Anolis sagrei: one gene and its partners. The protein of the gene in region 3 purifies or fractionates together with the protein of the main gene of each other region. This does not show direct contact. Links are inferred from orthologs where the notes say so. Each region holds a gene or a part of one and is shown on either strand. Other genes may lie near its edges.

Region 1 (6,881 bases), on a different chromosome or scaffold from region 3:
GAGCGGTGTGAGCTTCTGCTGTCAGCCCCAGCTTCTGCCAACCTAGCAGTTCAAAAACATGGAAATGTGAGTAGATCAATAGGTACTGCTCCGGTGGGAAGGTAACGGTGCTCCATGCAGTCATGCTGGCCACATGACCTTGGAGGTGTCTACAGACAACACCAGCTCTTCAGCTTAGAGATGAGCACCAACCCCCAGAGTCAGACACAACTGGAACTAATGTCAGGGGAAAACCTTTACCTTTACAGGCTATTTCAAGAACTATCTGTTTATATGAGTCTGCCAGAGTCTTATGATATTCATCAGATGGCTTTCTCTCTGTCTGACCATGCATTAAGGTTTGTCTCATGAACACACAAGAGAGAGTCTTCTTGGAAGCTGCTCATAGTCTTTGGGACTTTCTCCTGTGGGGATCTTGGTTGGTCTCTTCTCTGTCCTATTTCTGCCAAGAGGCAACTTCCTTCTTAATGAAACAGGTCTTTAACTGGTTGTAGTAGTCAGATATGCATAGATGTGCTGTTATGTCAAAATCTGGTTTTTATTTTTAAATTGATAAATAGCATCTTGGATGGATTTGTTGTTCAATGCTATAACCTTTATACCATATAATTCTTTAGCTATTATGTTTTAGCTTGCATTGTAAGCCTCTTTGAATCCCACTGTGGGAGAAAGGCAGGATATCAATAGTATAAACTTGTCTTCCTTTTCCCCTGTCCTTTGTTTTCCAGTCCCCTAGTGCTGGGCAATCTCTGGGATGTGACTGACCGAGACATTGACCGCTTCATGCAGGCTCTTCTGAAGAACTGGCTGAAGGCAGGCTCTGGAGCTCCTCTGCTCCAGTACATCATTCAGTCACGCCAGGCACCCAGACTGAAATACATGATTGGTGCTGCTCCCATAGCTTATGGACTCCCAGTTTTTCTACAGTAGAAAAGACAAGAGCCTGGTGGGAGACATTTGGAAGGATCTGGATAAACTTTTCTTGACTCTGAGTACTTTAATTGCAAATTGCCTTTGGAGACAAAGGATAAAAATGCTTCAGATGCATTTTTGGTGTATAGTAGGAGTATATATTTTGTTGAAGGCCTATATTGTTTTTAGACAAAATGTTTCTACCTGGGCTGCTCTTTCAAGTATTTAAGATTTGCACAATGTACACATTTTTAATTTCAGAGAGTATTATGAATGTTTCTTAAAAGCTATATGAATTTTAATGTTTCAAAACCTAAATAAAGTTTAAAGCAAACAATCTCCCCCCCTCCGTGTGTTTGCACATGAATCATGCACTATTATCATTGGCATTTGATTCTTGGGAAGTTATATCTAATCTTGGATGGCTGTCTATCTAGTTCTAAATTTAAATCTCCGATTTTGTCCTGGCCAATCTACTTTTGCTAACATTTCCAGTCTTGCTATTAAAATCAAGCAAGGTGAGAAAAGAAAGGTTAATGTTTTATAATTGTGTGTGTGATTGTAATTTCATAGTTTTATCATTTTTAGATTATTTATTATTTATATGCGGCACTTCGCTGTGCTTTGTTAGCTGCCCCGAGTCCTATTGGGGAGATGGTGGCGGGTAAAAATAAAATCTATTATTATTATTACAATTATTATTATTAAAAGAATAATGGATTAAAATGGCAATGAAAATAATAAATGATGTGATCTTGTGTCGGGGTAGCCTAGCACAATGTTTCTTGCCTTCATTTTTAACAACAGGTTTTAAACATTACTTTTTTAAATTTCATAACAGCTAGTTATGAAATTTAAACTGCAAAAAACTATTTATTATTGCATGGCCATAGCAATAACGACAAACAATGGGGCTGCAGAGCATTTATAGTAAATGGAATATACATTTTCATTGGTTCCCAAAGACAAATCATTTCATTGGTCTAAGCTAGCTATGCAGTTGTTCATTAGTTGTTTATGATTTTGATTGACATTTTAGCACACGTGGGATCCTAACAATGGCACAACTATAACATAACTATAGTCCATTGTTCTCTGATCATGACTGTATCTTATCTGTTAGTCTGTTGCAAACATGGCTTCAAAGCGACTGGGAAACTTGGGGGTTCTAACTAGCCAACAGCTACCTGGTTTTGTCCGGATATGTTGTTATCCTTGAATAGTAACTTCTTCTTTGGAGCACTGATTTCTCAATCAGCATTTTCTGTGAACATAGGCCTACTGCAGAAATAGGCCAAAATGGTAGTAAATCATGACATATAGGCATTGGGGAAATATCTGAAAATTCCCTTTTTAAAACTACGTCTCCTCCAGTACCAAATGAGAGCCCCCCCCCCCCCCCCCCCCGGGCACACAGAAGACTGGGTGACTTGGAAGGCGCCGAACAGACTGCGCTCTGGCACCACGAGATGCAGAGCCAATCTTAAGAAATGGGGCTACAAGATGGAATCCACGACATGCGAGTGTGGAGATGAGCAAACCACTGACCACCTGCTGCAATGCAACCTGATCCCTGCTACATACACAATGGAGGACCCCAGGTGGTGCAGTGGGTTAAAGCCCTGTGCTGGCAGGACTGAAGACCGACAGGTCGCAGGTTCGAATCCTGGGAGAGGCGGATGAGCTCCCTCTATCAGCTCCAGCTCCTCATGCGGGGACATGAGAGAAGCCTCCCACAAGGATGATAAAAACATCAAAATCATCCAGGCGTCCCCTGGGCAACGTCCTTGCAGATGGCCAATTCTCTCAAACCAGGAGTCACTCCTGACATGACAAAAAAAATATGGAGGACCTCCTTGTGGCAACACCAGAGGCACTCCAAGTGGCCAGATACTGGTCAAAGGACATTTAATCAACTACTAAGTTTGCAAACTTTGTGTTTTGTCTGTTTGTTTGTTTTGTTATAAAAATGTAATGCTCCTGACACGATAAATAAATGTCTATGCCAGAGTTTTTAAGGTTGGCTTTGAGTCCATCTTTAAATCTCTTTTCCTGTCCACTAACATTCCGTTTTCCATTCTTGAGTTTCCCAAGCAAAGAATGCCCCCAGGAAGCAACAGCCAGGTTTTGCAGCTGCAAGGCTGCTCAATGCTAATCAATTTGTTAACTGTAACATTCACACTATCTTTAAACAGACAAGGGTTTTTTCTCCCACCCTGGACATTTCCACAGATGTGTGTGTGTGGGTGTATGCGTGTGTGTGTGTGTGTGTGTATATATATATATATACACACACACACACACACATATATATATACACACACACACACTCCATTTGCTTCATAGCCAACAGAACTTCTGAGGAGGCCGGCCACAGATACAGGCAAAACGTCAGGAGAGAATGCTACTGGAACATAGCAATACAGCCCGGAAAACTCACAGCAACTCACAGTCATGGTGGCTATGAAAGCCATCAACAACAGAATACTAACTTGGGCCAGCAATGAAATGGACTGAAGGTATCCATATATAATACAGTTCGACACCGCTTTAACTGCCACGGTTCTAGGCTATGGAAGCCTGGGATTTGGTGAGGCGCCAGCACTTTGTCCAAGGAGGCTAAAGACCTTGTCAAACTACAACTCGCAGGATTCCATGGCAATTCAAAGTGCCAAAGCACATGAATAAGTAATTGTGCTTTGAATGCAATATTCCTGCTTCTTGGCAGGGGGTTGGACTGGATGGCCCATGAGGTCTCTTCCAACACTATGATTCTATGATTCTATTATGCAGCATCCCACCGTTTCCCTTCTATCTCTCTAGGAGGCGCCTCGCTCGCAGGCCGGAAGTGAGGTCATTGTGGCCAACCTTGCCGTTTGCTGGCAACAGGGCGTGGATTGGGCTAACGTCATAGACGCAGTGACCATAGACTCGACTGCTAGCGCGTCTTGAGGAGGAACGGCTCCTTCTTTCCTTCCTTCCTTCCTTCCAAGATGGCGCAGCAGGTGAACATTTCGGAGCTGTCCCTGCCGCAGCTGGAAGTGCTGAAGAACCAGTTAGACCAGGTGAGGGAGAGGAAAGCGGGGGAAACAGGGGCCTGGTCTCCCTCTGGACTGCCCCCCCTAGAGTTCGTCTGCACTGTGGAATGAAAACTGTTCTATACCACATTAATTGCCAGGTCTCACTTCTATGGAAGAGTGGGAGTTGTCGTTTTACCCGGCCTGCCAAAGAGGGTGGTGCTTCACTGAACTGCAATTGTTAGGATTTCATAGCATTGAGCAACGAAGCAGCTAAAGTGGTGTCAAAGTGCCTTAATTTTGCAGTGTAGATGCCCCGCTAGGATCAGGATGCGGGGTAGAGGGCAGGCCCAGTGTGACACCCTCAAGATCTCCAGGGGAAGGTTACAATCTCAAGGATTGATATCTTTCAGAGCGTAGATAGAATCATAGAATCAAAGAGTTGGAAGAGACCTCATGGGCCATCCAGTCCAACTCCCTGCCAAGAAGCAGGAATATTGCATTCAAAGCACCCCTGACAGATTATTATTATTATTATTATTATTATTATTAAACTTTATTTATACTCCGCTAGCATCTCCCGAAGGACTCGATGCGGCTTACAAAGGCCAAGGCCTCAACCCAACAACAATAGACAATAACAGTACGATACAAAGCAAATTAAAAACATAAGCAATAAGAAAACATTACACTATTACGCAATAAAACCAGGGCCGGGCCAATGAAGGGTACATATTAAAAAGTGCTGGGTGTGAGAGGTGGTGTGTTGGAATTCTGGGCAAGTGCAAGTGCAGAGAGTCTTAAACTCTACTGGGACATAGAGCTGGGGGTTATCCTATTCTGGAAAGGCACATCAGAATAGCCAGGTCTTCATGTTCTTCCTAAAGACTGCCAACATGGGTGCTAGTCTAATGTCTTTGGGGAGGGTGTTCCAAAGTCGGGGGGGGGGGCAACCACAGAGAAGGCCCTGTCCCTCGTCCCCACCAAACACGCCTGTGACGCAGGTGAGATCGTAAGCAGGGCCTCTCCGGATGAACGAAGGGAGTGCGTGGGTTCATAAATGGAGATGCGGTCATGCAGGTAAGCAGGTCCCAAGCCATTTAGGGCTTTGTAGGTAAGCACTTGCACCTTGAATTGGGTTCGGTAGATGGCCATTTAGCCTCTGTTTAAAAGCCTCCAAAGAGGCTTCCTGGCCTCCACCACACTCCAGAGCAGAGCGTTCCACTGCTGAACGGCTCTCACAGTCAGGAAGTTCTTCCTCATGTTCAGATAGAATCTCCTTTCTTGTAGTTTGAAGCCATTGTTCCGTGTCCTAATCTCCATTGAAGCAGAAAACAAGCTTGCTCCCTACTCCCTGTGGCTTCCTCTCACATATTTATACATAGCTATCATATCTCCTTTCAGCCTTCTCTTCAGGCTAAGCATGCCCAGTTCTTTAAGCTGCTCCTCATAGGGCTTGTTCTCCAGACCCTTGATAATTTTAGTCGCCCTCCTCTAGACATATTCCAGCTTGTGCTATTCGTTTAAATGGCACCTAGATGATCTTTTGGTTTGAATGTTGGAACTGATAACAACAACAACAACAATAATAATAATAATAATAAATAAACTTTATTTATACCCCGTCACCATCTCCCCAAAGGGAACTCGGGGTGGCTAACATGAAGCCAAGCCCAAAAATAATACAGCAGAGTTCAAAACAAAGCAACAGAAAAATTACATCACAGCAAAATACATAAAATAACAGAATAAAATAAACTGTGCAAAATAACATAATATAAATCAAACACAAAGGACAGGCCAAATGCGTGAGCTAAAATGTTAAAACCCTGGAAGAGATAGGAGTAAAAAAGTGTATTGAAAAGTGTATTTGTGATGGAGGAGCCCAAGAAGGGGAGCAGTAGGGTTTGGCCTTTATTAACTGATGGGTATTAGAGTCCAACAACATCTGGAGGACCACGGCTTCCTCATTCCTGGCTTAGAGCTGGGAAGTTCTCTATCATAAGAAAAAGGATCCCGTTCTTCGATAGAAATGGTCATACTTAGTTTGAATATTACCTTCTATTTGTGTAAAAGGAGCAGACGATATATGTAAGTCTGCTCCAAGTTTTTGCTGTGAAATGTGTTTGCATGTGCATGAGAGAGAAAAAAACAGAATACCTAACCAGGGGGATAAGCATACTGAATCACCACATGTCTATTAGGATTCTATACACTTTCTTTCCATTCAGTCTTTCCCTTCTGCCAAATGACTGTGCTGTCAATGTGACTTGTCATACAAATCTGCCATGGCTTTTGGATGGAAGTAAATGGTATTGTAATGAAGTAGTCGTTTCAATCCTGTTCTTCTAGACTGGGGTGATGAATGTGTGGCTTTCCATTGGTCCTAGCCAGGGTAACCAACAATGTCTGTTGTTTAGAAATACTACTCAGCAACATTTGGAAGAACCACAATTTTCCCATCTCTGGTCTAGATGTTCACGGTGTAGTGCTCCTGGTGGCAAATATTTCAGAATACCTACTTCACATGCAGCTGGTTGCTGGAGGTGATGGGTCTTTAACTTCTGAATTTTGTATGACTTTTCCTAGGAAGTGGAATTCCTTTCTTCATCCATTGCACAACTTAAAGTGGTACAGACAAAATATGTGGAAGCAAAGGACTGCCTGACTGTCTTGAATAAAAGCAACGAAGGCAAGTACTGTGTATTGTTCAAATATATATGCTATTCTCCTCAGAGTGAGCGATGAAAATAAAGCCAAAAAGAACCAATGAATTCAATAGGCACACTTTTTAGTAAGTAGATGCAATGGAAAAACCGACGTGACTTTTTAAAAGTGATTGAGGACAGATGTAAATTCTAACCATCTTTCTAATCAGCTAAGGAGAATGCTACTGGAACATGGCCATACAGCCCGAAAAGCTCACAGCAACCTAACCAAAAATGTGTCATT
Region 2 (7,151 bases), on a different chromosome or scaffold from region 3:
CTGAAGTTCATTTATATTTGCTATATTTCATCTTCTAAGTATGTGAATCACATACAATATTTTCTTTTTCCTTTCTCCTTATTTCCACGGGATAATTGTGAGCATTTTATATGGGGCGGTGGGAGAAACAATTCAAGTGCCACTTTAGAAAAGGGCCTCATGGACAGACTTTGGAGAACGACTATGCTACCCTGTAGCTGGGTTATGCAGTCAGGTTTTCTTTCAACAAAAACAAGAAGCCTGTTTGCACTGAAATCAAAGGAATACTGTGTCTTTCTCCTCGGGGTCGCAGAAGCACTTCCATTGTCTTCTCTGCCAAGCACCTCCCTGGCAAGCCATGCTAGTGATCTCACTGGCTTTGAGGTCAAAAAGAGGTGCTCAGCTATGAGTTCTCATCAAAATGAAGCATCCAACTTTGAGATCAATGGTGAGGGGGGGGGGGTCAATTGGGCTATCCCCTCACCACTGATGTTTTAGCTGAGTTCGTCATTCTGACCTCAACAAAAGTTATCTGGTCTTAAAGCAAGCTTCAGATTGTGGCTAAATCAGACTGAATGTTTCCTCCATACAAAAGGATTCATATACACAGTGTGATTTAGTTCTTTCAGTATATTGTTTTAATTGGATGAACTGGCCCTGAAAAAAAAACACAATAAAGTCACAAGAATAAGAATGGAAGAACAAAACGTGTGTGCTCTCAGAGGTAATATAAAATAGAAAGAAGGCAGCAGGCATTTCATAAAGAACTAATAACAGGTGGAAATCCCAAATATCTGTAAGAGAGTTCAAACACCAAACTTCAGCGGGTAAATTATCCCTCAAATACCAAAGAAAAGCAAACATTCACATCTGATCACCCTACTGCTATGGGCTCCTGACAAAATCGTAATGTTATTTTTTGATGCAATATATCTTGATTTATTTTAATATTTTGATTGGTGTGTGTGTATCATGTTAATATTTTTTCACCAGGGAAACAGAAGGCTTCATATGTTCTTACTTGTTACCTGGAGTATCTCTTCAAACCAAGTGGGAAACAAGTGTTTTAAAAAATAAATAAGACCTTTGAAAGAACCAATATGCCAGTGATTTACTAATTCAAATACTACTTGGACTTCTCAATATCACTCTGTGACAGCCTTTCTGTATATTTTACACAACGAAGCCCACAAAACCTCTCAATTCATAAGGTAATGCGCTTCAGAGAGATCTGGTGAATTCAAGAAAGTATGTGAAGAACACATAGTTTATTTGCTTTAGGGAAGGCACACTTTGCCTCTAATCTTGTTAGAGGTAAAGTCTAAAGTTTTATTGGCTAAGAGTGTTTATGTTTTCTGGAATGGTAGAAGGAAAACTGTGGTATAAAGGAAGAAACTCAGACAAGTTCTGCCAAAAGAGAAAGCATATGAAATTATTTATATGTCACCTCTGAAGGCCACTTCACATAAATTAGAGACCATACACCCCTCCATACGTGGTTGCACTGCAATTCCCAGCATTACTTCCCATTAGCTATGCCAGGTTGAACTGACGGAAGTTACAGTCCAAAAATATCCGCAGGGGCACATGATCCCACAAGCTGAATGCAAGCTGAAGCCATTCATTAGGGTCTGGCATGCACTGTAGATGCCCTGTAGCTGTTTTCAGCAATGACTAACACAACACACCTCTACTACATCATCACAAAGTTCCTACATGAATTTTGCTATGAAGTAGATTCAACACATAAAATAAGATAATTCAGCACTAACTGGTGTCTAGTTCTAGGAGATGAAGAGATAAATCCTTTTTTAAAAATGTGTGCTTCAGATTGTGAAATCAGATTGAATGTTCCTCCATACAAAAGGCTTTGTACACAGAGTGTGCTTTAGTTCTCCCAACAGGTTCAATATACCTGTTTAATTGGGTGAACTTCTTGCGGCAACACCAGAGGCACTCCAAGTGGCCAGATACTGGTCAAAGGACATTTAATCAACTACCAAGCTTGCAAACTTTGTGTTTTGTCTGTCTGTTTGTTTGTTTGTTTGTTTGTTTTGTTCTGTTAGAAATGTAATACAATAGTCTGGTTGCCCCTGACACGATAAATAAATAAATTGGGTGAACTGCCCCTGGAAAAAAACCCATCATACAATTACAAAACAATGACAAAAAAGCAGAAGCTGACAATATCTCAAAGGCAATATTAATAAATTATTCCTCAAATACCAAAGAGAATCAAACATTTACATCTGATGGCATATATGAGTCCATGAATGCCAACTCCTTAATAAATCCAGTAGCCCTCTGCTTGCTACATACCTAATTTTGGAAAAACTTGTTGGGGAAGCTGTGACTGCTGCGTGTACAATATTAAGAAAATGAGCACCTATGAATACAACATGCCGTTGGTGTTAGTTATTAATGTGACCAACACTTCTACCATAATAAGACTATGATTTAAAAATAAACCCATGCACAACTTATTTTGGAAGAGAGTCTAGCAAACTCAGTAGGACTTTTGAATAAATACTGCCAAAGTGACACCTGTTTGTGATTGTGCTTTTCAGTAACAAGATCTTTATATGAGTATGTGAAACATATTTGAGGCTATCATTTTAAGCAGTAGTTCCCAACCTGTGATCCATAGATCACCAGTGGTACGCGTTACTACACCATTGCAACAAGAGCAACTGGTCTCACGAAACTCTCTTATACTGTTGAGATTTATTAAATGCTAGCTGTCCTCTGCCACATGTTGCTGTAGCCCAGTCTGTGTATGTGTTTTGTGTGCATGTATATATGCATATGTGTGTGTGTGTGTGTATGTGTGTTTATGTATATATGTGGTTTTGTGCATCCGTTGTAATTTTTGTTGGGTTTTTTTTTTTTTTGCTTTTTAAGTATCTTCTGCTGTGTTTTTCAGTGTTTTTATGAGTGATGGTCACTTGTTGGCCTGATATGTGTATTGTGTCCAAATTTGGTGTCAATTCATCCAGTGGTTTTTGAGTTATGTTAATCCCACAAACGAACATTACATTTTTATTTATATAGATGGTTTTCTGTGAGTGAACAGATCGCGACTACTGGATGGTACACGTTCTGTATCAGAAACTAGAGCTGATGTGGTCTACCCAATTCAATTTTCTGAATCAGTCCCCCAAATAACCAAACCGAATCTAAAGTTGACAAAACTGATTTGTAACCCTTTTGGTATTAATGCTGTAGAGTGGTCCCTGGTCAAAAAAAGATTGGGAATCACTGATTTCGACGGAAAGAACCACTTTTTTCTTTGATGAAGAAACCTTACACATTTGTCCTAAGAAACAAGCAAAGCAGCCCAGAAAAGATGAACCCAAGACAAACAAAACGCTCAATGAACAAACTTCCCAATCTGATCGTATCCTGAGTAAAGGTGCATCTACACTGTAGAATGGCATGAGTTTAACTGCCATGGCACAATGCTATGGAGTCATATTTTGGTCAGAGCACAGCACTCTTTGGCAGTCAAGGCCACAATTCCCAGGATGACACTGCATTGAGCCAGTTGGAAAGAAGCCCTTCAGTTGATAGAGAGGATACTATTAAACTATTCTATATTTATATCCCTCTTTCCCTCTAAAATGACTCCCGAGTAGTTCACAGTTCAAAAGAACGATACAATGAAAGGCATACAAAACGAGAAGGCGTTAGGCTGAGTGTGAGGCCGGCTCCCCAAGGAGGCAGGAATCGTGGACCACCCCGCCCCAACAGAACCGTTGAGGGCTCCCCAACCGCCCCACCTCGCGCGGGACTCACCAGCGGCCGGGCCACATCGGAGGAGGCCATGACAGGCGAGACAGCAGGGAGGGAGGGAAGGAGGGGTCGCCGCGCGGCGGAGAGGACGGGCGGAGGAGCGCGAGCGCAGCCCTGCTCCAATCCCTGCGGCTGGAATGCCACACCACAACGCCGGGGAGGGAGGAAGGGAGGGAGCGCGAGAGAGAGAGAGAGGCCTCGCGGACAGGGAGGACGCGCGCTCAGCCAATCACATTCCGAACAGGCGGGGGATGCTGTCGCAGCCAGGGCACCCGAATCCAACGGGCGCGTGGGAAGGGGAGGGCGGTGTTCGAGCGGGGAAAGGGGCGTGGCCTCCAGGAAAGGGCGGAGCCAGAGCGACGGGAAAGTTGGGACGGAGCCGGAGAGGCCACGCCCTCTTTGCCGTCGCGGGTGTCACGTGGGGGAGGAGCGTAATGACGGAGAAGGAGTGGCGGGAGGGGGAGCGAAGAGGGAGCCGTGATTTGGTTTGTGCGAAGAGGAGGAGGAGGAGGAGGGCTTTAAGCCGGGGATGAGGAGGCGCAGCGCCACCAGGAGAGGCGGGAGATGGAGCCGGCGGCGGCGGCCGAGGAGGAGGAGGACGACTCCGCGGTGGGGTTGAAGGCGGCGGGCGACCCCGGGATGGAGCTGAGCCAGGAGGCGGTGCTGGGCTTTTTGGCGGAGCGGGGCGGGCGGGCGCGCAACGCGGAGCTGCTGGAGCACTTCCGCGGCTGCCTCAACTCCCCGGAGCCCGCGCGCCGCGCCCAGGCCCGCCAGCGCTTCAAGGAGATGGTCAACGCCGTGGCCGTGGTCAAGCAGGAGCCGCGCGACGGCGGCGCCAAGTACGTGCAGCTGAGGAAGAAGCACTGGAGGAGGAGCGGCGGGAGCGGCGCCAGCACCAGCAGCAGCACCAGCAGCATCGCCCAGGGCGCCTCCGAGCCCGCCGGAGGAGGAGATGAGAGAAGCAACAGGAGGAGCGCGGAGGAGGAGGAGGAGGAAGAAGATGCTCCTGCGGGTGGAAGAGCAGGCCTGGAGCCCGAGGGGGGGAAGCCTGAGGAGGAGGATCCGGGAGCCCCTTCTCGGCTCTCCTCCTCGTCGTCGTCGTCGTCTTCCTCGGGCCTGGCGCTCAAGAAGAGCCGCCGCCTGGGCAGCTCTCCTCAGATGAAGCGCGGCGGGAGCGGGGTGTTTCCCCGCGCGGGTGAGTGGGAGGAAGAGGAGGAGAGCGGCTCGAGCGGCCCCTCGTCGGTGGCGCTGGACCCGGTGGAGCACGCGTGGATGCTGCTGTGCGCCTCGTGGGAGGGCCGCTGGGAGAGCCTGGAGGCGGTGCTGAGCGGCGAGCCGGCGCTGCTGGGCCGGCGGGACTTCGTGACGGGCTTCAGCTGCCTCCACTGGGCCGCTAAGCACGGGCGGGCGGAGCTGCTGGCGCGGCTGGTGGGCTTCGCGCGGCGGCGCGGGCTGGCCGTGGACGTGAACGCGCGCACGGCCGGCGGCTACACGGCGCTCCACCTGGCCGCCATGCACGGCCGCCTCGAGGTGGTCAAGCTCCTGGTGGGCGCCTACGACGCCGACGTCGAGCTGCGCGACTACAGCGGGAGGAAGGCCGCCCACTACCTCAGCGCCGGCGCCGCCGGACTCCGCAGTCTCATGGGCTCCCTCCACGACGGGGGAGGCGGAGAGGAAGGGGAAGCCGGGAGCGGGGCCGGCAGCCGCAGCGGAACAGGAGGAGGAGGAGGGGGGCGGTGGCGGCTCTCCAAGGTGCTCCCCACTCACCTGCTCGCCCACCGGCCCGCCCACCACGAGGACAGCGAGCTCACCGTCGCCTCCTTGCCCGCCGCCGCCGCCGCCGAAGGCGCCCTGTCCGCCGGGAAGCTCAGCAGGAAGAGCTCCAGCGGGAGGGCCAAGGCCCGGCTCCACAAGGTCCGATTCCGCACCCAGATCGTCCACACCACGCCGTCGTTCCGCGTGGAAGCCGAGGCGAACGAGGAGGAGGGGGGAGGCGCGCCCGAAGAGAGGCCCCTCAAGGGCTCCTTCAAGCTCCGGCCCAAGTCCAACGTCTTCGGGTAGACTTTCTTTGGTCGTGTCAGGAGCCTCAAGTCGCTTCTGGTGTGAGGGAATTGGCCGTCTGCAAGGACGTTGCCCAGGGGACGCCCGGATGTTTTGATGTTTTACCATCCTTGTGGGAGGCTTCTCTCATGTCCCTGCATGGGGAGCTGGAGCTGATAGAAGGAGCTCATCTGCGCTCTCAGCGGATTCAAACCGGCACAAGGGTTTAACCCACCTCGCCACCGGGTAGACTGAAGGAGCAGGAATGGTGTGTTATCCCCAAGGAGGTTCGCCTGGCCACCCCTGACACTGCCTCCCCCGGGCCTTGGCACAGAATAGCCAAACAGGAGGGAGAAGTATTCTAAATAGGAAAGTTCAGTGGTGCAAGAGAAGGCCGCTGCACTGCTCCTTAAGGGCTTTGGAAGAAGGGAGACTGGCAGGTATTCCTGAGTAGGTGAACTACTTATACCTGCTGGCACCCCCCCCCCCTCCCCACACACACACATACACACACACAAACTACCCAAATTCAGTTTTGGGGGAGCTTGGCCATGCAGAACCAAACAGGAGGGAGAACAGTTCTGAATAGGAAAGTGCCAGAGATTGGACAGGGTCCTGTGGTGCTACAGAACGTCATTGAGCTGCACAGGAACAGTACAATGGCCACCTTTGGCACCACTGGACTTCCCAGTCAGAATATGTCTCCCACCAGTTTAGCAATTCATCATGATCTTCCTCCAAAGCCCCATCTGGGAAGAAAACTTGGCCAAGGTAAGAATTTGGGACTCTGAACACTGACATTTCAAAACAATGTGCAACTGAGTGTGTTGTCAAAGGCTTTCATGGCCGGAATCACTGAGATGCTGTGAGTTTTCCAGGCTGTCTGGCCATGTTCCAGAATTATTGTTTATTTATTTACAGTATTTATATTCTGCCCTTCTCACCCCACAGGGGACTCAGGACGAATTACAATGCACATATACATGGCAAACATTCAATGCCATAGACATGCAACATATATAGACAGACACACAGGCAATTTAACATTCCAGTTTTCCAGTCTATGCTCGATTCCGGCCACAGGGGGAGCTGATGCTTCACCATCCACTTGTGACACCAAGTCCTTGATGGAGTACTTCCTATTCTTACACACAAAGGTTTTATGGTGTCATTAATTAGTTAATTTAGCCTTCCCGCATAAAGTGGTACGGAAATTTCCTACTTGACAGATGTAACTGTCTTTTGGGCTGCATAGGTCAACAGCAAACTAGACTATTAATGGTCGGGAGCTCACTCCGAACCGGGCTGGCTTCAAACTCATTACCTCTCAGTCAGTAGGG
Region 3 (7,873 bases):
GAACTTAAACTCCAAAACCAAGGACACTGCCCACCAAACCCTTCCAGTATTTTCTGTTGGTCGTGGGAGATCTGTATGCTAAGTTTGGTTCAATTCCATCATTGGTGGGGTTCAGAATGCTCTGTGATTGTAGGTGAACTATAAATCCCAGCCACTACAACTCCCGAATGTCAAGATTCTATTTCCCCCAAACTCCACCAGTGTTCACATTTGGGCATATCGAGTATTCGTGTAGAGTTTGGTCCAGATCCATCATTGTTTGTGTCCACAGTGATCTCTGGATGTAGGTGAACTTCAACTCCAAAACCAAAGGACAACACCAAACCCTTCCAGTATTTTCTGATGGTTGTGGGAGATCTTTGTGCTAAGTTTGGTTCAATTCCATCGTTGGTGAGATTCAGAATGCTCTTTGATTGTAGCTGAACTATAAATCCCAGCAACTGCAACTCCCAAATGACAAAATCAATTTTTTTTTAGTGAAGGACATATATAGGGTTGCTGGGTGTATCGTGTCCAAATTTGGTGTCAATTCCCCCAGTGGTTTTTGAGTTATGTTAATCCCACAAACGAACATTACATTTTTATTTATATAGACTAGCCGTCCCCTACCACGCATTGCTGTGGCCCAGTCTGTGTCTATGTGTTTTGTGTGTTTACGTATATATGTGTGGTTTTGTGCATGCATTGTAATGTAATTTTGGGGTTTTTTTTTTTTTTTGCTTTTTAAGTCCCTTTTGCTGTGTCTTTTTTTTTAAATGAATGATGGTCACTCATTGGCCTGATAGGTGTCTTGTCTCCAAATTTGGTGTCAATTCGTCCAGTGGTTTTTGAGTTATATTAATCCCACAAACGAACATTACATTAGGTTCTTGTGGGTTTTTTCGGGCTATAGGGCCATATTGTAGAGCAGTGTTTCTCAACCTTCCTGATGCCTGATGCCGCGACCCCTTAATACAGTTCCTCATGTTGTGGTGACCCTCAAACATAGTGTTATTGTCATTGCTACTTCATAACTGTAATTTTGCTCCTGTTATGAATCATAATGTAAATATCTGATATGCAGGATGTATTTCATTCACTGGACCACATTTGGCACAAATACCCATATGCCCAAATTTGAATACTGGTGGGATTTGGGGTGGGCGGTTGATTTTGTCATTTGGGAGTTGTTGTTGCTGGGATTTATAGTTCATTTTCAATCAAAGAGCATTCTGAACTCCACCAACGATGGAATTGAACCAATTTTGATGCACAGAACTCCCATGACTAACAGAAAATACTGGAAGGGTTTGGTGGGCACTGACCTTGACTTTTGGGACTTGTAGTTCACCTACATCCAGAGAGTACTGTGGACTCAAACAATGTTGGATCTGGACCAAACTTGGCACAAATACTCAATATGCCCAAATGTGAACACTGGCGGAGTTTGGGGAAACTAGACCTTGACATTTGGGAGTTGTAGTTGCTGGGATTTATAGTTCACCTTCAATCAAATAGCATTCTGAACCCCACCAACGATAAAATTGGGCCAAACTTCCCACACAGAACCCCCATGACCAACAGAAAATACTGTGTTTTCTAATGGTTTTTGGCGACCCCCCTGACACCGCCTCACGACCCACCCAGGGGTCCTGACCCCCAGGTTGAGAAACGCTGTTCTAGAGGCATTTCTCCTGATGTTTCGCCTAACGTCAGGAGAAATGCCTCTAGAACATGGCCCTATAGCCCGAAAAAACCCACAAGAACCTAGTGATTCCAGCCATGAAAGCCTTCGACAATACATTGAACATTACATTTTTATTTATATAGATTATATGTGTCCTCACTACCAGATAATCTGGGATAAACAGAAAACCTGGGATCAGATCCTGGGATACAGGGCCTGTCTGGAAGGGCCCTAGATTATCTGAGTCCACATCGCCATATATTCCAGCTCAAAGCAGATAATGTCGGATTTTATTCAGATAACCAGGTCAAAGCAGACATTGTGGGATTTTCTGCCTTGATATTCTGGGTTATATGGCTGTGTGGAAGGGCCCTCTGGAGCCTTCTGCTTGGAATAAATGCCCCAACTGTCACTATGGCCTGTGCGATGATGGGATGTGTAGTTTGGGGAGGTAATTGGCAGAGATGTGTGGTTTTGTGCATGCATTGTAATGTAATTTTGGGGGGGGGGTGGCTTTATAAGTCCCTTTTGCTGTGTGTTTTTTTTTAAATGAGTGATGGTCACTTGTGTCCAAATTTCGTGTCATTTCGTCCAGTGGTTTTTGAGTTATATTAATCCCACAAACGAACATTACATTTTTATTTATATAGATCTGAGTCCACACCGCCATATATTCCAGTTCAAAGCAGATAATGTGGGATTTTATTCAGCTGTGTGGAAGGGGCCTCAGATAACCCAGTGGGATTTTCTGCCTTGATATTCTGGGTTATAGGCCTGTGTGGAAGGGCCCTGTGGAGCCTTCTGCTTGGAATAAGCGCCCCAACTGTCACTAAGGCCTACGCGGTGATGGGATGTGTAGTTTGGGGAGGTATTTGGCAGAGATCGACAGCCACACGGAACTACAAATCCCGGCGGGAGATGTGGCTGTGGAAAAGGGGTCCAGCCTCTGCCTTTCCCTGAGGAGAAGCAGAGGGAGGCCTCCCGCAGCAGGCAGGCAGGCAGGAGAGGGGCCAGGCCTCCGGCCTTGCGTGGCGCCTCACCCGCGGCCTCCCTCCCTCCTCCCTCCCCGCTCTCCGCCGCCTACTTTATTGTTGTATTCCTCCACGAAGCTGCCGAGCGCCAGCCTGAAGCGCTTGTCGGGCCTGACGCTCCAGTTCATGGCGTAGACGGTCCATGGCGCCTCGTACTTGTAGATCTCCTTGCGCTTCCCGTGCAGCGACATGGCGGGAGGGAGGGAAGGCCTCCTCCTCCTCCTCCTCCTCCTCCCGCAGCGGCGGCGGCGGCCCTTCTCCCTCTCCCTCGCACACAACGGCGACCGCCAACTACTCTCCGTCGCCGTTCGCCCACTGCGACTCGGGCCCGGCCCTCTCATTGGCTGCCCGCCACGCCATTCCACAAAGCTCCGCCGCTCATTGGTTCCCCGGCAGCGTCGACGCTATTGGCGGGAATACTTGTCGCTCTTGATTAAAACCCGCCCCTCTGACAAAAAATAATAATCAGGCTATATCATAGCCACAGGTAGATAGATGTATAGAGAAAAACATAGAGCAAGTAAGCCTTTAGGGCAGAGGTCCTCAAACTTAGACCCGGGGGCCAGATATGGCCCTCCAAGGTCATTTACCCGGCCCCTGCTCAGGGTCAACCTAAGTCTTAAACAACTTGAAGGCACACAACAGCAACAACAATCCTATCTCATCAGCCAAAAGCAGGCCCGCACTTGCCATTGAAATACGAATAGGTTTATATTTGGGTTGTTGTAGGTTTTTTCGGGCTAGATGGCCATGGTCTAGATCAGGGGTCCACAAACTTTTTAAACAGAGTGCCAGGTCACAGTCCCTCAAACTGTTGGAGGGCCAGAGTATAACTTGAAAAAATGAATTAATTTCTTTGCACACTGAATATATTTTATTTGTACTGCAAAAAATCACTTAAAAGCAATACAATAATTAACATGGAGAACAATTTTACCAAATATAAACTTATTATTATTTCAGTGGGAAGTGTGGACCTGCTTTTGGCTGATGATATAGGATTGTTATTCAATCAATCAATGATTTATTACGGTCTTTGACCAGCACAGTACAGAATGGGGCATCGGTGCCCAAGGAAGGGAATCGCAGTTCCCAAGTAGATAGTAGGTATAAAAGTAGGTATAGTTCCCAAGTAGATAAGTAAGTATAAAAGCAGATTAAAAGCAGACTAAAAACATGTTATAAAAGAGACAAATTAAAAAGATAAAACAGACTAAACTTACAGTTTAAAGTGCATGTATGAATCTAAAATAGGGGGCGGCTAATAACAAATATCAGACGACTGGGAAGTTATAAAAGGAATGAGAGGGGAGCATTTACAGGATTGTTATTGTTGTGTTGTGCTTTCAAGTTGTTTCAGACTTAGGTTGACCCTGAGCGAGGGCCAGGTAAATGACCTTGGAGGGCCGCATCTGGCCCCCGGGCCTTAGTTTGAGGACCCCTGGTCTAGAGGCATTTCTCTCCTGGCCATATAGCCTGAAAAAACCTACAACAACCCAGTGATTCCGGCCATGAAAGCCTTCGACAATACAAGTTTATATTTGTTAAAATTGTTCTTCATTTTAATTATTGCATTGTTTTTAAGTGTTTTTTGCACTACAAATAAGATATGTGCAGTGTGCATATGAATCCATTCTTTTTTTTTTCAAATTATAATCCGGCCCTCCAACAGTTTGAGGGACTCTGACATGGCCCTCTGTTTAAAACGTTTGAGGACCCCTGCTTTAGGGGTTCAAACCACACCTGAAAAATTTCCCATGAATTTTTCTTGGTTAAACAAATCTCCATGCCAAATCTATGAGAAGAAAAATTAGAGTCCCTCCAGAACTGCAAGCACCTTCTCCACCAAATCTAGATGGTTCATTACCCACTTTTCTACCAATTTACATTGTATGGGGATACTACATCACCTTGTCTGTCTCCTGAGGGACCTGAATAAAGACCAAGTAGCAACAGTAAGAACTGACCATGGAACAACAGACTGATTCAAGACTGGGAAAAGCGTACGGCAGGGCTGTATACTCTCACCCAACCTATACAGCTACGGAGCCCCCAGTGGCGTAGTGGGTTAAACCCCTGTGCCAGCAGGACTGAAGACCGACAGGTCGCAGGTTCGAATTCGGGGAGAGGCAGATGAGCTCCCTCTATCAACTCCAGCTCCTCATGCAGGGACATGATAGAAGCCTCCCACAAGGATGATAAAACATCAAATCATCCTCTGGGCAACGTCCTTGCAGATGGCCAAGTCTCTCACACCAGAAGCGACTTTCAGTTTCTCAGGTTGCTCCTGACACGACAACCCCCCCCCCCCAAAAAAACAAAAACAACAACAACTATTCAACTTGTAGGCAGAACACATCATGCGATGCGCGGGACTTGACAAATGCAAGGCTCGGGTGAAAATTGCTGGAAGAAACATTAACAACCTCAGATATGCAGATGACACCACTCTGATGGCCGAAAGTGAGGAGGACCTGAGGAGCCTTCTAATCAAGGTGAAAGAAGAAAGCACAAAAGCCGGGTTGCAGCTAAACATAAAAAAAACCAAGATTATGGCAACAAGAATGATTGACAACTGGGAAATAGAGGGAGAAAATGTGGAGGCCGTGACAGACTTTGTATTACTAGGTGCAAAGATTACTGCAGATGCAGACTGTGGCCAGGAAATCAGAAGACACTTACTTCTTGGGAGGAGAGCAATGTCCAATCTCGATAAAATAGTAAAGAGCAGAGACATCACACTGGCAACAAAGATCCGCCTAGTCAAAGCCATGGTATTCCCTGTAGTAACCTACGGATGTGAGAGCTGGACCTTAGGGAAGGCTGAGCGAAGGAAGATAGATGCTTTTGAACTGTGGTGTTGGAGGAAAGTTCTGAGAGTGCCTTGGACTGCGAGAAGATCCAACCAGTCCATCCTCCAGGAAATAAAGCCCGACTGCTCATTGGAGGGAAGGATATTAGAGACAAAGTTGAAGTACTTTGGCCACATCATGAGGAGACAGCAAAGCCTAGAGAAGACAATTATGCTGGGGAAAGTGGAAGGTAAAAGGAAGAGGGGCCAACCACGGGCAAGATGGATGGATGGCAGCCTTGAAGTGACTGGACTGACCTTGAAGGAGCTGGGGGTGGTGACAGTCGACAGGAAGCTCTGGCGTGGGCTGGTCCATGAGGTCACGAAGAGTTGGAGACGACTGAACGAATGAACAACAACAACATTTCTTTAAAGAGCTTTTTTCTTTGCTGCTTTTTACTTATCTTTAATAAAAGGATTGTTTTTTTCCTATTCAATGTGTGGTGTTTAAAGTCAGAGGATTATCCCTGTTCTGGAGTACAACAGTCATCGCTTTTACTTTCCAGGCCAAAACAAAAACTCTGTGGAACAAGGATTGGTGATAAAGCTTCAGTGTACATTTGGGGACTGCCTGTACTCCACTTGCCATATGCCTTCAAGTTGTTTCTGACTTGTTGCAGCCCCTTTACAGGACTGTCTTGGTAAGATTCGTTCAGAAGAGGTTTGCCATGGCCTTCCTCTGAGGCTGAAAGAATGTGATGTGTCCAGCATTACTCACTGGGTTTAAAGGTCAAGCGGAGATTCAAATCCAGAATTGTAGCCCAATGTTCCAACCACTAGCCTAGTTGACTTTCCACTTATAGGAGTGAAATATCTCATTGATCCTAGTAAAGCTTATTTCCAAGTGGATAAAAAAATATGAAATTATAAGTCAGCATTTCTCACACAGGCACTTTGGTCACCTGTGACATTGATATCAGCACAGACTTTAAAATACTGAATATACTCGAGTATAAGCCTAGTTTTTCAACCCCCTTTTTAGGCTGAAAAACCTCCCCTCGGCTTATACTCGAGTCAGTGTTATTTACTATTTTACTCTGTTATTAGTATTATTTTTATTGCATTTATTATTTTACTCTATTTATTATTATTATTATTATTATTATTATTATATTTATTATTTTACTCTTTATTGTTATTATAACATTTATTGTTTTACTCTATTATTGTTGTTCTTACATTTATTATTTTACTCTTTATTGTTATTACATTTATTATTTTACTCTATTTATTATTGTTATTATTACATTTATTATTTTATTCTCATTACTGTTATTACATTTCCATTATTTTACTCTATTATTATTTTTATTACATTTATTATTTTACTCCCTTTATTATTATTGGAAGGATATGTGAGCACATTTACGTTGAAGAAGGTTAGAATAATGGTTTAATCAGAGTTGGACAGCCTTATCTTAAATTACAATTTTATGTAAATATTTTTGAATATTTACTCTACTGATGCCTCAATTAATGTAATTTTATTGGTATCTATTTCTATTTTGAAACTTACCAGTAGCTGCTGCATTTCTCGCCCTCGGCTTATACTCGAGTCAATAAATTTTCCCATTTTTTTTGTGGTAAAATTAGGTGCCTCGGCTTATATTCGGGTCGGCTTATACTCGAGTCTATACGGGTAGTCCTTGTGTTTCCATAATGCACTGTCAAGAGTTTAATAAACAAACTATGGATGGACAAGACCAAACTTCTTGTTTCTAAAATAAGCTGAAATGCACACATACTGGTTTCATGTGATAAATCAGTAATGCAAAACGATGTTCCCTGGGGGCTGCATGAAGCCCCATCAATACTGCTATATAATCCAGTTACTGGCAGTGTAGACCCAAATAATCCAGTTCAAAGCAGATAATATTGATTCCGAAACTGGATTATATAGCAGTGTAGATCCAGCCTAAGGGAAAGGGCATGTGAGGGCAGTGGGGCTCTAGATTACTACGGGAACCAAAGAAAGGGCTAGAGGAGTAACTGGCCTAAAAACCCTAGAGAGCTGCTGTCTGAATTGACCATACTAGGCAAGAGGGACCAATGATCAACGAACCAATGTAAGATACCTTCTATGTTCCTGTCTGAAACTGGAGATGCCCCAAGAGAGTAATGTACTTAATTGAACCTTTGTTGATATCTCAAATATACTTTTTGGGGGGGTTGGGGGGATCTCCCATTGAAATCCAAACCAATCAGAAACCTGGGAGTGTAGTGGAAAGAAATCCTATCACCCAAACCGTTATAACCATTATCCACTGATAAACCTTAGTTGAAAGTATTCATGGGCTGTTTTAGTTAAGAAGGAACACATTTAGT
Region 4 (7,142 bases), on a different chromosome or scaffold from region 3:
ACAAACAAGAGCACTCTGCTGATTGTTGTATTGGATCACACGTTGGACACTTCCCAAGTGTCTAGGACTATGTGATGCATTGGCGAATAATACGTGCAGATCCCAGTAAGATGGCCTTTTGCAGCTGGCAAATTGTAATTTTGTCAGTAACATTTGTGTTTAAGTGTAGGCCAAGGTCTTTAGGCACTGTACCCAGTATGCCGATCACCACTGAGACCACCTGTACTATCTTGAGCCAGACTCTTTGCAGTTTGATCTAATAATAATAATAATAATAATAATAATAATCACAACTGGGATTTATTATTATTATTATTATTATTATTAATATTATTATTATTAGGCTCCATCTCCTAACCAGCTTCTTCAATGGTCAAGAATTCTGGGAAATGAAGTCCAAAACACCCATAGAGCCCCAGGTTGTGCAGGCCTGGTCTAGAGCAAGGATGGGAATTATGCAGATCACCAGTCTCAACCCAACCTACTGGAAAGAATGTTAGCATAAAAAGGCAAATTTTAGCTTACCATAAAAACTCTTTTCCTTGAAACTTTCTGTGTGTGCTACTGGCCATTTAATGGTATTTCACCTACCCGCCTCCACATAACCCCAGACTATTTTAGGCCCTGAACAGTCAGGTGCTTCTGGTTTTAAAAAGGGGGGCTATGGGCAGCTGAGGGAGGGCAAAAACTGGCAAAGAACAAGTGGCCCTCATCCACGTTTGCCTTTGTAAATAAGAATATTGAAATTAAGGAGGTTTGATACTACAAAATGCGGGGTGCAGCATAGTACAAACATTTCTGATGCAAAGCAAAGTAAACAAAAAACAAAACAGAACACTATTTAGATTATAAGAAAAGCAGCTCTGCTACACATACCTGCTGTTTGGGTGCCAGCCTGCTTTTGGATAGTACAGGGATCTTGCTGCTGCTGAAGGCATTTGCCGCAAGCACAACACTCTCTTTTGTTGCCTGATCTGCGGGAGGCAAGGCTTCTTGCTGGTTTTCCTTCCCAATGTGAGCCATTTAGAAGAACTGTCCTGATTCTTCTGTCAGTATTTGTACCTGTATTATTGTTTAATTAAAGTTTTGAAAGAGGGAGGGAGGGAGAGAGAAACAAGTAGTGCAGCAAGACTTGTATGAATAATATAATTTTTTCCCCAAATTGTTGTGACTGTTTCCAGTCATAGTGCAGTCAGCTCAAGGTAGAGTAACTGTATAAATCTCCCCATCCCGTCTTACTCAGTAATGAAAGATATCTCAATACATACCAGACACATAAAACCTGGTTGTATAGTCAGCTTTTCACTGTTTCCTCTCAAGTTGCAGAATGATCACCAACATTCAACATCTTATCACTGAGTTGCTATGAGTTTTCTGGGCTGTATGGCCATGTTACAAAAGCACTCTCTCCTGACATTTCACCCACATTTATAACAGGGATCCTCAGAGGTTGAGGGGTCTGTTGGAAACTAAGTAAGTGAGTTGTTGAAGGCTTTCATGGCCGAAATCACTGGGTTGTTGTATGCTTTTTCGGGTTATATGGCCATGTTCTAGAAGCATTCTCTCCTGACGTTTCATCTGCATCTATGGCAAGCATCCTCAGAGGTTGTGAGGACCTCATAAAAAACCTACAACAACCTAAGTAATTGAGGTTTATTTATCCGTGGAATGTCCAGGGTGGGGGAAAGAACTCTCTGCTTGAGGTATGTGTAGTTTCCAACAGACCCCTGAACCTCTGAGGATGCCTGCAATGGATCTGGGCAAAACATCAGGAGAGAGTGCTTCTGGAAGATGGCCATACAGCCCAGAAAACTCACAGCAACCCAATGATTCCAGCCATGAAAGCCTACAACAACAACACTCAGCCTTCGGGTTGAGAAAGGCGGTATACAAATACAGTAAATAAATAAATAACGTCCTATCAACTTATTCATGAAAGTACCAGAACATGCACTGGTATTAGGATAAATACTCCTCGCTAGTTTTTAAAAGACCCTATGGATCTGAGGCCACCATTATTTGCCATCAGTAAAAGGCAGTTCAGAAAGAATAGGCCTGGTATTGGGATGGCTCCTAAGCTCTTTCCAAATCTCCTTCAGAGAAGCAGCCACGACACCGCTGCTGCCCAGAGAGATGCCACAAAAAGGAGGAAACTGGCACAGCCCAGCCTGGTTAGGCTAAGCCTAGCCTAATACAGAATATGCTTTTCATCCCAGTAATAAGAGAAACAGGTTTATGAAACCATTCTCCTGCTTGATGGCCATCTGTCGGGGGTGCTTTGAATGCAATTTTCTGCTTCTTAGCAGGGAGTTGGACTGGATGGCCCATGAGGTCTCTTCCAACTAGGATTCTAAAGCATACTAGTGCCTCACCAAACTCCATGGCAGCTAAAGTGGGGTGAAACTGCATTAATTCCACAGTGTAGGCACATCCTTAGTCCAATGCTCATATTGCTACCAAGCTGCCTCACCAAACTTCCACTCCCAAGGCTCCATGGCAGTTAAAGTGGGATGAAACTGCATTTATTCCACAGTGTGGGCGCTCATACCATTACACCAAGCTGCCTCCCTTCCCTTGCTCATGCCATAGCCCTTCTCCCCACGACTCTTCTTTTCCACCTTTTTAGAAATGCAGCCCCACATTTCCAATGCCAGGCGAGCACCACTCTCCAACCACAAAGATTGCAAAGAATTAATGCGGTTCGATACCGTTTTAACTGCCCTGGCTCACTGCTATAGAATCCTGGGATTCAGAGTTTGGTAAAGCACCAGCCCCACTTGGCAAAGAAGGCTAAAGCCTTGTCAAACCACCCTCCCATGCCTTGAGCCCTGGCAGTCAAGAGTGGTGCCAAACTGGATTAATTCTACAGTGTGGATGCACCCAAAATCCTAGCCTTCTGGAGGATCGCCCACCTGGTCAGATCTCTCTTTCTTTCTCTCTCTCTCTCTCTCCACTCCCTTCTTCCACCGAGGCAGTTGCTTTGCATCCATCCACACCAGTTCATAAAGCAGCAGAGAGCTCTGATTGGCTGGTTCTTTGCGTCACGTGGTTTCAGAAGGGGCGGGGATAGAACGTTGCAAAGGAGGAAGTGCTGGAAAAACTGCGTGGAGAGGAAGCTCTTGTAATGCTTTGCTTGGCTGGGCTGTGTATCATCTGTTTCTCTTTTTTAATATTAAATGTCCACATTTTGTACAATTATATGTACATTATATCACACTACAGTAACAATCTGCAGTTACTGTAAATTTGTGCCTCATCCCACCCACCCTCTTTCCCCTCCCCAAGTCACAGGCCTTTACTGACTACTCCATAATAAGAATGATAATTCTTTCTGGGCTGTTGTAGGTTTTTTCAGGCTATATGGCCATGTACAACAGACCTCACAACCTCTGAGGATGCCTGCCATAGATGCAGGCGAAACGTCAGGAGAGAATGCCTCTAGAACATGGCCATATAGTCTGAAAAAACCTACAACAGCCCAGTGATTCCAGCCATGAAAGCCTTCAAAGATAATTATTTCATTTCTAGAGGCCGACCCTGAAATGTTTTATACATATATGTCTCTGAGCATGTGCCGGTCATATTTATTATCTCATCATCTACACTAAATTAATGTAGTTTTACACCACTTTAACTGTCATGACTTAATGCTATGGAATCATGGAAGCAGTAGTTTGATGAGGCTCAAAGCCAACCTTAAAAACTGTGGCATAGACACTGAGAACGGGGAAGCCCTAGCCCTTGAGCACTCCAGCTGGAGGTCAGCTATGACCAGCAGTGCTGTTGAATTTGAAGAGGCAGGAATTGAGAGTGAAAGGGAGAAACATGCCAAGAGGAAGGCACGCCAAGCCAACCCTGACTGGGACCGTCTTCCATCTGGAAACCGCTGAGAACATGTGGATCAAGAATAGGGCTCCACAGCCACCTACAGACCCATCGCCAACACGCCACATCTGGAAGACCGTCACCCTCAAGCTACGAGGGATCGCCTAAGTAAAGTAAGTAAGTAAAAGTCTGATGAGCACTCTTTGGCAGAGGAGACTAAAGACCTTGCAGAACTACAATTCTGAGGATTCCACAGCACTGAGCCTTGGCAGTTAAAGTGGTGTCAAACGCCATTAATTCTACAGTGTAGATGCACCCTTATGAACCTGGCACACTACACTGTTACGGGGCTATCCTACCACTTTAACTGTTGTGGGTTGGTGTTACCCAGTGAACAGGCCATATCACACTGTGTGTGTGTATAACCCCCATGGATTTTATCCCATGCTAGATCATAGCTCAACATTGTAGCTAAAATACCAAAAATCGGCAACTACGAAAAACTAGCAACAACAATACACACTTGTAACATATGAGGACGAAATCTCATGATTCGCTGCGTCCATGTTAATTGCATCCATGTAAATTAGCAGTTGAAGTGGAAATACAGTGCTCTAACAATATGGTGTGTTAAGGCCCTAAGATTCTGAGCAATCAGGGTTCAAATCCAGTTTGTGGAGCTGAGCAAGTCGCATTCTCAAGAGGAACGGCCCTTCCACACAGCCCTATATCCCAGAATATCAAGGTGGGAAATTCCACATTATCTGCGTGTGGACTCAGATAACCCAGTTCAAAGCAGATATTGTGGGATTTTCTGCCTTAATATTTTGGGATATTGGGCTGTGTGGAAGGGCCCAGAGTCCACATTCAAATAATGTCAGATTTCCTGCCTTGACATTCTGGGATATAGGGCTGTGTGGAAGACCCCCAAAATAAATGGTAAATCTGTGAATAAACCCTGCCAAGATAATCTCTTTATAAGTTTCCTTAAAGCTGCCATAACTCAGAAATTACTTTAAGACAGACAACTACAAACACGCCTAGTAACATGAAGTCACCAGATCCCATCTGACCTTAGAAGATAAGCTGGGCCAGGCTGGTTGTTATCTGGACATGGGAGTGCAAATTTAATATTAAGTGTTGCAAGCTATAATTCTGAGCAAGACAATGTCAAACCCCCTTGTGAGTATTCCTTGTCTAAGAATATCCTATGAAGTCCACGGGGTCAGCATAAGATTATGGAAACAGACACTACCTTACCTCAAACATCTGGGAATAGCAGGCATGAGCTCAGAATTCTCCGTAATGAATACCTTCCATATGGCTATTGTAGTCTGTTGAAGTGGAGACATTATCTTGCAGCTGCACTTCATAGTGCCAATTACGACTCTCCACTCTGACCTGTGACAAACTGGGATCAAATCTTGGGATTTGTAGTTTGATGAAGCACCAGCATTCTTTGACAGAGAAGTCTAATGCTTTTGCAAAATGCCAGCTCCCATGATTTTCTAACAGTTGTGTTGTACGGAGGCTTTGCACAGTTGGTAAATCATCAGCAACTATAAGATTTATCAACTGAAAGATTGCAAGATCAAAAGCCCCGGGTCAGCATGAGCGGCTGACTGTAAGCCCTGTTCACTGTTTACCTAAGCAGTTCGAAACAGCTTTAGCTGTAATTAGAGAAATTAGGTACTGCTAAAAGCGGGGGAGGTGTTTTACGCCATAAAGAAAAAAAATCAGGAAATGCTGGAATGAAGAAATCCTGATGGCTCTTTGTCATAGAGGATGGAGCGACAGCACCCCCTGTGGACTCGAACCCAACCATCCATGGCATCGAAACAACACCTCCTTCTGTGCTGTCTGTCTGTGTACTGTCTATACAAAATGGCACTGAATGTTTGCCGTGTATGTGTACTTGTGATACACCCTGCGTCCCCTTCAGGGTGAGAAGGGTGGAATATAAATATATTATTATTATTATTATTATTATTATTATTGTATTAATTCTACAATAAAGCCAGAATTTGAACAAACCACAACCCTTCTATTAGGTATGAAATCCAACTATTGAGTTATGGGGAATTTTGCAAGAAAGGCTACTTAGCATCAGAGAACACACACGTGCACACACAAAAGAGTAGAGAAGATCTCTTCAATATGATATTTATTGGCTGGTTGGAAGCAATACATGGCACACAACAGCCAAGTGGCATGAAGTAACAGTCACTCTTCAGGGGAGATCTAGAAGCACCAGAAACAATTCTACAGCAAGCACTCCCACATTTCCATACTGCATTTGTGTTGTCTTTGTAGGAGTGTGAGATAGATTGTTTTGTCACCTGGGCATTACTACATCACCTTTTCACAAGTGACACATTTGTGAGACAAGCCAGAGGGATACCCCAGAGTGCCAATACGTGAGGGCAGGGTTAGGGCACAGCACAGAAGAGTAATTAGTGCAGTATGGAAATCACATTATTGTGCCAAGACTGACTGGATCAGATTTGGGGCTTTGATACAAAGATCCTAGTATGGAGGAAGATAGCACCAGGTGTTCTCACGAGCTGTGATTAGGGGTATGGCTGCATGGCTATCAGAAACAGGGGAATCAGCACCAAAACCCATAAAAGGGGATCTGTGTTCCAAAGAAGAGGAAGAAGGAAAATGATAGAAGCAAGCTAAATCAGATGTCAAAAATCCAGCAGAAGAACTATGCTATGTGCCAATGCCATTATTTAAAGAACTATTCTCAGCACATTTCGAATTACAGTATAGTGCAACTCAATCCTATACAAGTGAAGCATATCAATGTGTGGGACTGCAAACCTGAAGGCTGGAAAGTAGTGTTGCTACTGCTGCTGTTTTTCGAGAGGGATGGTTATATAACTATGACACATTTGCAAATGTTGCTTTATTTCTGCAGCTGTCAGAAGGGGATCTGGAGAAAAAATAATTATCCAGATAGGTGTCCCAAACAAAAGAAAACAAGAGGAATCTCATACCACCCATGAAAGTTGTCTAGATCCCAGTCTTTGGTCTTCCAGTTGTTTGGGACTTCCAACTCCCAGAAGCCCCAGCCAGCATTGCCAACTCTCAAAAATTCTGGGAGCTGAAATTTTAAAAAGAAACATGAAAAACCAAAGGTTGGGAATCACTAGTCTAGATGATGAGATTCCTCAGTTATAGACAGTGCTTCCAGAAGTTATGGACTACAACTCCCAGAATTCCTCAGTGGCTGGAGCATTCTGGGAATTGTAGTCTAAGTAATTACTCCAAATAAGTGGTAAGAATGCTGCACATTGCAACATGTTGGGAGA

Evidence for each region.
Region 1: the proteins of DCAF7 (region 3) and PFDN5 purify together in Homo sapiens (affinity purification with mass spectrometry; 3 studies listed by BioGRID and IntAct, with this or other methods). This does not show direct contact. The link is inferred for Anolis sagrei from reciprocal best matches to the Homo sapiens genes DCAF7 and PFDN5.
Region 2: the proteins of DCAF7 (region 3) and SOWAHC purify together in Homo sapiens (affinity purification with mass spectrometry; 4 studies listed by BioGRID and IntAct, counting the BioPlex papers as one, with this or other methods). This does not show direct contact. The link is inferred for Anolis sagrei from reciprocal best matches to the Homo sapiens genes DCAF7 and SOWAHC.
Region 4: the proteins of DCAF7 (region 3) and TROAP purify together in Homo sapiens (affinity purification with mass spectrometry; 3 studies listed by BioGRID and IntAct, counting the BioPlex papers as one, with this or other methods). This does not show direct contact. The link is inferred for Anolis sagrei from reciprocal best matches to the Homo sapiens genes DCAF7 and TROAP.

What each region holds. Positions count from the first base shown.
Region 1 is NC_090022.1:187,059,853-187,066,733, reverse strand, and holds the start of PFDN5 (prefoldin subunit 5), read left to right. Parts: upstream 1-3,859; 5' UTR 3,860-3,905; coding exon 3,906-3,977; intron 3,978-6,518; coding exon 6,519-6,621; intron 6,622-6,881. Other genes in the region: ESPL1 (separin), read left to right, coding at 729-930. UniProt on the Homo sapiens protein: Binds specifically to cytosolic chaperonin (c-CPN) and transfers target proteins to it. Binds to nascent polypeptide chain and promotes folding in an environment in which there are many competing pathways for nonnative proteins.
Region 2 is NC_090023.1:107,817,943-107,825,093, forward strand, and holds the start of SOWAHC (ankyrin repeat domain-containing protein SOWAHC), read left to right. Parts: upstream 1-4,141; 5' UTR 4,142-4,335; coding exon 4,336-5,832; 3' UTR 5,833-7,151. Other genes in the region: SEPTIN10 (septin-10), read right to left, coding at 3,775-3,804.
Region 3 is NC_090026.1:51,932,742-51,940,614, reverse strand, and holds the start of DCAF7 (DDB1- and CUL4-associated factor 7), read right to left. Parts: upstream 3,025-7,873; 5' UTR 2,889-3,024; coding exon 2,751-2,888; intron 1-2,750. UniProt on the Homo sapiens protein: Involved in craniofacial development. Acts upstream of the EDN1 pathway and is required for formation of the upper jaw equivalent, the palatoquadrate. The activity required for EDN1 pathway function differs between the first and second arches.
Region 4 is NC_090022.1:145,668,199-145,675,340, forward strand, and holds the start of TROAP (tastin), read right to left. Parts: upstream 3,022-7,142; 5' UTR 2,913-3,021; intron 1,063-2,912; 5' UTR 1,024-1,062; coding exon 877-1,023; intron 1-876. UniProt on the Homo sapiens protein: Could be involved with bystin and trophinin in a cell adhesion molecule complex that mediates an initial attachment of the blastocyst to uterine epithelial cells at the time of the embryo implantation.